Linked DNA regions of Drosophila melanogaster. The protein of the gene in region 1 interacts with the protein of each later gene in a pairwise test. Each region holds a gene or a part of one and is shown on either strand. Other genes may lie near its edges. The genes, in order: CG6138 and CG33191.

Region 1 (3,555 bases):
CAATTGCTGTTCCATGGCATTTGGCTGTTCCTCCATTTCAATGGGCGATGTTTCAACTGCACTAAGTAGCCAATTGACAACTACAAATTGAACATTTATTTTCCAGCTGCTGCTCAAAGTGCAAGTTGCCCAAAGGAAACGGAGGGGCTAAATGTTTTACATACCCATGTAGTAGTAGTGGGTCTCAAAAGGACTCAAGTGGTCGGTCATCTGTTTGACAAAGTGAACAACTAACTGCTGGGAGTCTGAGTAGTTGTTTGAGCAGCTAAAATAATAGAATTTTCCCCTAAATTTGGCCAATGATGCCTCACTCGGGCAAATAGTAAAGGCAGAAGCTGCTCCAGCTCCATATGCAAATATCTAAGACATGGGTGGATGACAACCACACTACCGCATCCTCATCGTCATCCTTCTTGAAGTTTTCCTCCATCAAACGAAGGATACACAGCCCGATCCCATTTGTTTATTTGTTTACTTTTTGCCATTTGCCTGCATGCGAGTTTCCCTCTACTTTGTCGGGGTTTTCCCTCCACTTTCTTGTATTTTTGTTGTCGTCATTATTTTGCTGGCTTTTTTTTTCCTGTTTAGCCATGAATATTTTCATATTTTCATGTGACCACTTTTCGGATTCCTCCGACTGCGACTGCTCACTCCTGCGAGTCCTACGTTATCCTGGAAATTGTGAGCAAAACTTTCGGCTGCTGACTGCCTTCCTTCCTCGGAGGTCGCATGTGTAGGACCATGTTATTTAATAGGCTTCTGCGACTCGGAAGACGAGCACCAAATGGCAGGCAGCTCGGCACAGTGGAAAAAATGTAGTTTAAAAATCACACATTCCTTGAACTTTAAGAAATGGTTTGCATGCGTCAAGTAAGCCTAACTTGACAAAACGATTCTTTAATTTGTACATCCATCTTCATCAATTATTTTAGAAGGCATAACATTGCGTTTTGGTCCACTGTCCAAAAATATGCTCCTTGGTATCACAGGTCTCCTCGCTGCTCCCCGCCTCTCCTGATATATTTCCATCTCACCCTCTTTGTTTGTTTTGTCTGCCTGTCTGGAGTCCTCAGTCTTTTGGAGTCGTCTACATGTGTCTGCTCCTTGTCGCTATCCTTGCAACCCCGTTGGTGCCCCAAACCACAAGCGCCTTTCTTTCGACTTCCGTTTGTTTGCACAGTGGCTGCTGTTTTGGTAATGCGTTCAGATTATTAAACATATTTTCTGATGCCTGACAAATGGCAGGACAAGCGGTGGTAAAACTTTTCACGTGAGCAAAGAAGTTACGTAGTCTGATGTTTATGTTGAAATTTGCGCAATTAAACGAAACGCTAGTTACTTTAAGTGATCAATAAAAAGCAGGAACAGTAAGTAGGTCAGGCCATTAAAATTGCCACGCCAGGCGAAACAGAAACACACACTCTGGGATACACCCCAAAACGAGATTTATGTGTGTTTCTTTGCAGGGAGAAGGAGGAAGGAACACTGTATCCTATATGGTATCCTGCTCCTTGTTTAATCGTTAAAGGAATTCATGGTTTGTTTCTGGTTTTCTCTCCCTCCGGCCGTTCAAGTTTTCCTATGCGTTGACACACGAAAAAGGGGAGCCACCATACCACATATATGTATTACTTTGATCGGCAACACACGAACTTGCAACTCGACCATAGAGGAAGCCACCTGGCGTCGACAAGCGAACACACTTTGGTTAACTCGGCTCCCCTGGGACTCTCGCTTTCAGAAGTTGCTGCTAAATGCTTTCTGATTGTTATTTTTCGTGTTTTCCTCGGTTTGCCTCGCTTTCCTCCTCCGGCAACTGCGAAATTACAATTATTACACGGAGACCCAAACTCAAGTTTTCCACTTCTTGCAGTTCGCTTCTGCCTCGGCTGCTTTCCCTCAACTTTGCTTTTTGCCGCTCCAAATGCAAAATCTGGTAATGTAGGCGTGTTTAACACAAACTTAAGTTGTTCGTAATGACTTTGTAGCAAAATTCGGTAGGGATGGAGTCGGATTGAACGATGGAGCGGTGGGAGGATGTAGATTAGGGCGGTACAGGAACTTAAGATGCCATTCTTAAAGCCCTCAGACGGAATTAATGAAAAAAGTTTGCAGTTCGAAAAGGACAACCAATGGTGAGGCACAAATTACAAGATGATGCGATAGACCAAATATGCAATAAAGTAATAAGAAAGTAATTTATACAAATGAAGAGAATATACAACTTTCTAATAATGAAAGTTAAAGATTCTATCGAGGCATTGGGGTTAGATAGCTTTGCTTTTCTCATCGTCGGCATAGAAATCAAATTTGAATAAAATTTCTAAATTTTAATAAAGTTAATTTTCTTGGAACATACCAAACAATCATCGAAATCAATAAAAGCCATGGAGGATGACTTGGAGTTTCTTATCAACGCCCTGTCGGTGCCAAACACTCCACTCACCGAACCCTACGATGAGGGGCAACTTCTAGAGATGCGTGAATCCTTCAAGACGCTGCAGAAGCTCCTGCGGCGCAGTTCGCTGCCCGTAGAGGAGAGTCTGCGTTCCATGCCGAGATCGAAAGCTGGAGGTCAACTGGAGGCATTGCCATCCTTGCTGCCTATTGTGGACAACAATTACGAGAGGACCAGCGATAAGGCGTGGAACTCGGCGGAAAGCGGAGCCCGTTCGTCGCCCATCATTTCGGAGTGCGGCCTGGGTGATTGGGATAAGGAGGATCCTTCAGATCCTTCAGATAGGGCACTGGTGCCCTACGAGGAACTGGGCAATGAGCGAAGCAGTTCGGACACCACAATCACCAGCCGTAGCTTCGCATCGTCGGGAATCTCGCTCAGCATACCTGTTCACTTGGTATGGAACAACAAAGAGTACAATCAGGAGAGCACGGACAGTGAAACTACACTTATAGCGGACGGGCGCAGATACAGTATTACAAATTAGGCCACATAGTATTTTTCAAAATTATAGTAAGCGGATTGAAGTTTCATACATATTTAATAAATGGTGAATAACATTTATAATATTTGAAATATTTGAAAAAGGTATACAAGCATTCTTGTTAGTGGAACCACTTCGGCAAATCCTTCATCAGTGAAGCGCCTCTCTACGTGATTCTCAACAAGTTTAGCTCGGAAGTGGATGGCAGATCACGGATCCACGTCATCAAATTAGTTCGCATGACCTGACCCCAGACACAGTTTTAATGAGTGAGCATACCAACAACATGGGGCTTTGACCCCCTGCTTAACCCATGCTGGCCACTCTGAATGGTAGCAATGGAACTTGTAAAAGTGATTAAAACGGAAATTTAATTGAAATGCGCACATTTGCGTAGGCATTTGCCCATTTCCGTTTGACTGGGCACGCAAACCACTCTCGGATGCTCAGATACCGGCATACAGAATGCCAAATGTTTGTCTACAAACAAATGGCCTGCGGTTATTTTGCATAGAAGTGCTGGGCGATATATATATTTTTGAATTCTGCGTTCCTGGATGTAATTTCAATATTTTCTGGTGTTTGCGTGCGTGCAGCAATTTCCTCGACTGCC
Region 2 (4,105 bases), on another chromosome or scaffold:
AAACAGTCACCAGCGAAAAATACAGCGTTTCCTCTTCCGTCACATTTACCGTCCACGTACGCTCAATCGAACTCTGGGTTTCCCTCTTCAAAAGAGCCTCTCCTGCAGTAGTTTCCACTCTCTGTTGTCAGTTCACTCGGTTCACTCGGCCAGATCCGGAATTTCCCTGCACTCCCTTCACGCTGAAGTTGTTAATCTTAATTGGGAATCTCTGGCCAGCGTGTCATTTGTACAAACGGACGAGGTGAAAACCCTGGAGGAGGAGGTTCAGGTCACGACACAGTGCAATGAAAAGGAGATGCAAGTTCAACCAGAGACGATTGAGTGTGGAACACAGGTCGATGTGGGTGTGGAGCAACGACTGCTCCTGATGCCTCTGAGAACCAGGTGCTTCGTGGATTTGATTCAGGGCGCCGTGGACGGATACCTCGATGTTGCCGCATTCCGGACCCGTCTTCTTCACTTATGGGAGGGCGGAGAGGATTTCCGTGAGCATCTTGAATTTTTGCAAGACATGTGGATTGAAAAGAGTACTCAGAAGACGCAGGAGAGCTATGAAGGATTTGTGGCTGCTCTGGACTGTGTCCATAACCTAAAGTTGGCCCTTAAGCCTGCATCTTCGGCGCTTTTGCAACAAATCGAGCAGCGAATCCACACAAGACTTCTGCTCTTCCATAACCACAAGGCGGAATCGGAGTTCTGCTGCACTGTCTACATTCCCGTGGAGAGGAGCAATTCCACCTTGTTCAGAGCTAAGAAATAGAGCTTTATTTCTATGTAAATACACCAAACATAAATGTAAATTACCAAGTGACTGACCCTTATTTCGGTCTCCTTGAAGGTTGCCGTGTATAAGATCTTCAGATTAGATCTAATTATAGGAAGCTAACCAGGAACATTATAATTCAACATCAATAGTTCTCTGAGATTATTGTCTTTGTATAGAGTAGACTGTTTTATCGGCAGATTCGTAACGGCATCAGATTAATCCAAATTGTTTAAACGTTGAGCATTATGATTGGCGAGTTTGAGGACTTAGACATCTTTTATGACTGCCGCAGTGACGACGAGGAGACTCCAGATCTGGAAGTGGGCGGTGGTGATGAAGTGATCTGCAAGCAAGCGCCTCGATTTGACGATCCTGTCCAGATTCGGGCCGTTTTGGAGCGGGCAGCCACTGCCACCCAGCGGTTGCTAAGGTGCTACGGAGGCACTGATTCCGTGCCAACTCGTCCTTTGATGACACTTTTCTATCCGGCCACCCTGGAGGTCAGTGCCCGTCTACATACGGACGACAAGTGTCCTTGCCCCAAGGACAGGCAGTGCAAGTTAATCGGCGACCCAGTGACCCTGAGGCTGCCAATCGAACTGAATCCGGAAAGCGGCCAGGTCAAAGTCAACATCTTCCAGCCCAAGTCAATTGGCACATTTTGTGGATGCAATGCACCTGGAAATCAGAACAAGTCGAAGAGCAGAAGATCGAGTGTAAAGTGGTCCAACAAGGATGAAGTGTGTCCCGATTGCCAGGAACCTAATCAAAACACGTAAATTTTAAACTTATCAAGAGCCACGTCTTGCTCACTTAGTTGTTTTTTCTCAAAATTCATTGGTGACTAAATTGGATTATGTTTGGGAAATGCATTTTTTTCACTGGTAATTGCTGGGTATGTTGGGTATCTTTATAAATTTTCGCTTTGCTTTGGCTACACCACACATAGAACAGCGTAGGAAAATCGAAAATTCATAGGAGTTACTAGCAGGCCAGTGAGGTCACGTTTTCAATACTGTCACTATTGTGCTCCATTTGGTATCAGTATTTTAGACACAATCGAGCAGGCAACACACACTTTAAAATTTAATGTGAGTTCAGAGCTTGATTTGGGGAAAACAGTTCAAGCTCTTTAAGCGTGATGGACGAGGAATTCTCTAATCAGCCCATCGATCCAAGCATCGCTCGGAGTGACTACTCCCGGAGTCATTTCGTTAACCAGAGCTCCATGACATTGAGTCGCGGATTGGACTCCACCCGACTGCTTTTCGTAGGCGAAAACTTCCAGCAGACGCGCAGCGAACAGGACTTATTTTACGACTGTCAAGGTCCGGGTGAGGACTCGCCAAAGGAGGGCCGTAGTGCCACCAGCCGGTGCAAGTTCGATGATCCGGCTGCGATACGGGATGCCCTGGAACGGGCGGCCAATGCCACACAGATGCTACTCAAGAATTTTGACAAGTCAGGTGGTTGGAATCAGCCATGTGCCGTCACCCTGGAGTTGACCGCTCGGTTGGTGGACCCCAAGAAGGGTCGCGCTGGTTGTCCGTTGCACGGAAAGCCCGTCACCGTCCAGATGCCGCTGGAGTTCAATCCGCAGAGCGGCAAGATGGTCAAGTGTCAGCAAAAGAAACAACCGGTCACCAGGCATCGCAAAGAGTCCATCTGCCAGTGCCGCTCGCAGCAGTATATGCGTTCCGGTCCAAGGGCTCCAAAGCCCAGCTCAGGTAAATCCGCCAGCAAACACTTTCGTCCATGTGCATCGCAACAGCTAGCCGAAGGGTCCGCCAGTTCGGTATACATAGGAAGCTGTGGGGATTCAACATCTCAGTGTAACCGTTGCACTCCGGCCACATGTTGCCGCTGGCACGACCCGGGGGCACGGGAGGTCATCTCAATCTCCTGCCTGACCTTGCCGGATATCGAATCAGAGCTCACTCTTACCCCAGTGCCTGAGCCACTGCCAATTGAAGAACCGTTGGTGGAGATAGAACCAACGGCCCCGAAGGAGCACTTGATAATCTATGCTCCAGAGCCGGAACACCCGATCACCGAGTCGGATGAATCCGATGAGCTCTTGTCTAGCGAGCAGGAGATGTTAGGACCGCAGCCGGAAGAAGAAATGGGACCGCCGCCGCCGGAAAGATCGCCGGGAAGCAAGCGGTACTACCTTGCCCTGCCTCAAAACAAGGAGTTCTCCAACTGTTCGCCGTGCCGTTTCGATCCCAGTCCTATTATGGACGAGGAAGGCAATGTGTTTTGTCCCGGCAACTGTGGCTGCTGCATGTGTCCGTGGAAGCAACGCTCCTTTGCCCCAAACCAGCAGCACACCAATGTCAAGGTTTGCCGATGCGTACAGCGCGGCACCATCTTCACTAAGTTCGAGGATCGGGAGGTCTGCAGCCAGACCTCCTACTTCGATTTTTGTCCGTGCCGCGAAAAGGCGGAGGCCAAGTTCTTAGAATTGTACCACGCTGAAATGTGGTCCCGTCCGGAAATCACGCGGGGTCGCGAGATCCAACTCAATGAGATCAAGGAACTGCTCGTACCCACGAGCCATCCAATCGAATAAAATGTGTTTGCTCACCGAATCAAATCGAATCGAATTATGTGTGTTCTAGCCGGGGAATCGAGTTGAAACGGTTTTAGGAATCGGTTCGGTATCGGTTAAGAGTGCTCGAATTTTCGAGCCTTAGCCGCCACAATATCGTAAGCGTGCTAACTTTCCTGCTGATCAGTTTTCTTCTATTATATGTCAATTGTAATCACTTCTCTTTATTGAAATTTCCCACATTTTAAATCCTGTTTACGGATTTGATTTTTTAAGGCATACTTATGTCGTTTACCTTATGTAAGCGGCTAAGGCTCAATGTTTCGGAATATCGTGCAAGTCAAGATGTTTGCAAGAAACCTGAAGTAGCCAAGAATTTTTGAAGGGTTACAGAAGGCCGGCTATTAACAGATTCTTATTTTACCTGAATTGATGTATAAAATCCTTGTTAGATATTTATTTTATCCCAAACATTTCATCCACAGAATGCCCGGCTCTGATGTACATGCAGCATGAGCGACATTCCGACAGCGACCCCAACTCCCGCCATCAACAAACCGAGGCATCCCACATGAGAGACCACTGGAAGCCGTCAAAATCCCAACAGTCGCAACAATCTGATCGTGTAGACCCTCATGACAAGCCATCGCAGACGGCGGTCTCCTTTCTGCAGAAACACCACACGCCTAAGAACCCGGAATCGAAGGCTAATCCAGATGATGGGGCGTCCTGCTCATGCACCGCAAAGAGGTCCAAGTCCGCCGATCCACCAGCGGTTAAAGCTC

The links.
Region 2: the proteins of CG6138 (region 1) and CG33191 interact in a two-hybrid assay, tested with the Drosophila melanogaster proteins (one large-scale study listed by BioGRID).

Annotation. Positions count from the first base shown.
Region 1 is NT_033779.5:10,564,996-10,568,550, forward strand, and holds CG6138 (uncharacterized protein), read left to right. Parts: upstream 1-2,259; 5' UTR 2,260-2,387; coding exon 2,388-2,945; 3' UTR 2,946-3,017; downstream 3,018-3,555.
Region 2 is NT_033777.3:8,777,642-8,781,746, reverse strand, and holds CG33191 (uncharacterized protein), read left to right. Parts: upstream 1-1,823; 5' UTR 1,824-1,910; coding exon 1,911-3,341; 3' UTR 3,342-3,368; downstream 3,369-4,105. Other genes in the region: CG33189 (uncharacterized protein), read left to right, coding at 1,015-1,548; Pif1A (PFTAIRE-interacting factor 1A), read left to right, coding at 3,806-3,820; Pif1B (PFTAIRE-interacting factor 1B), read left to right, coding at 3,820-4,105.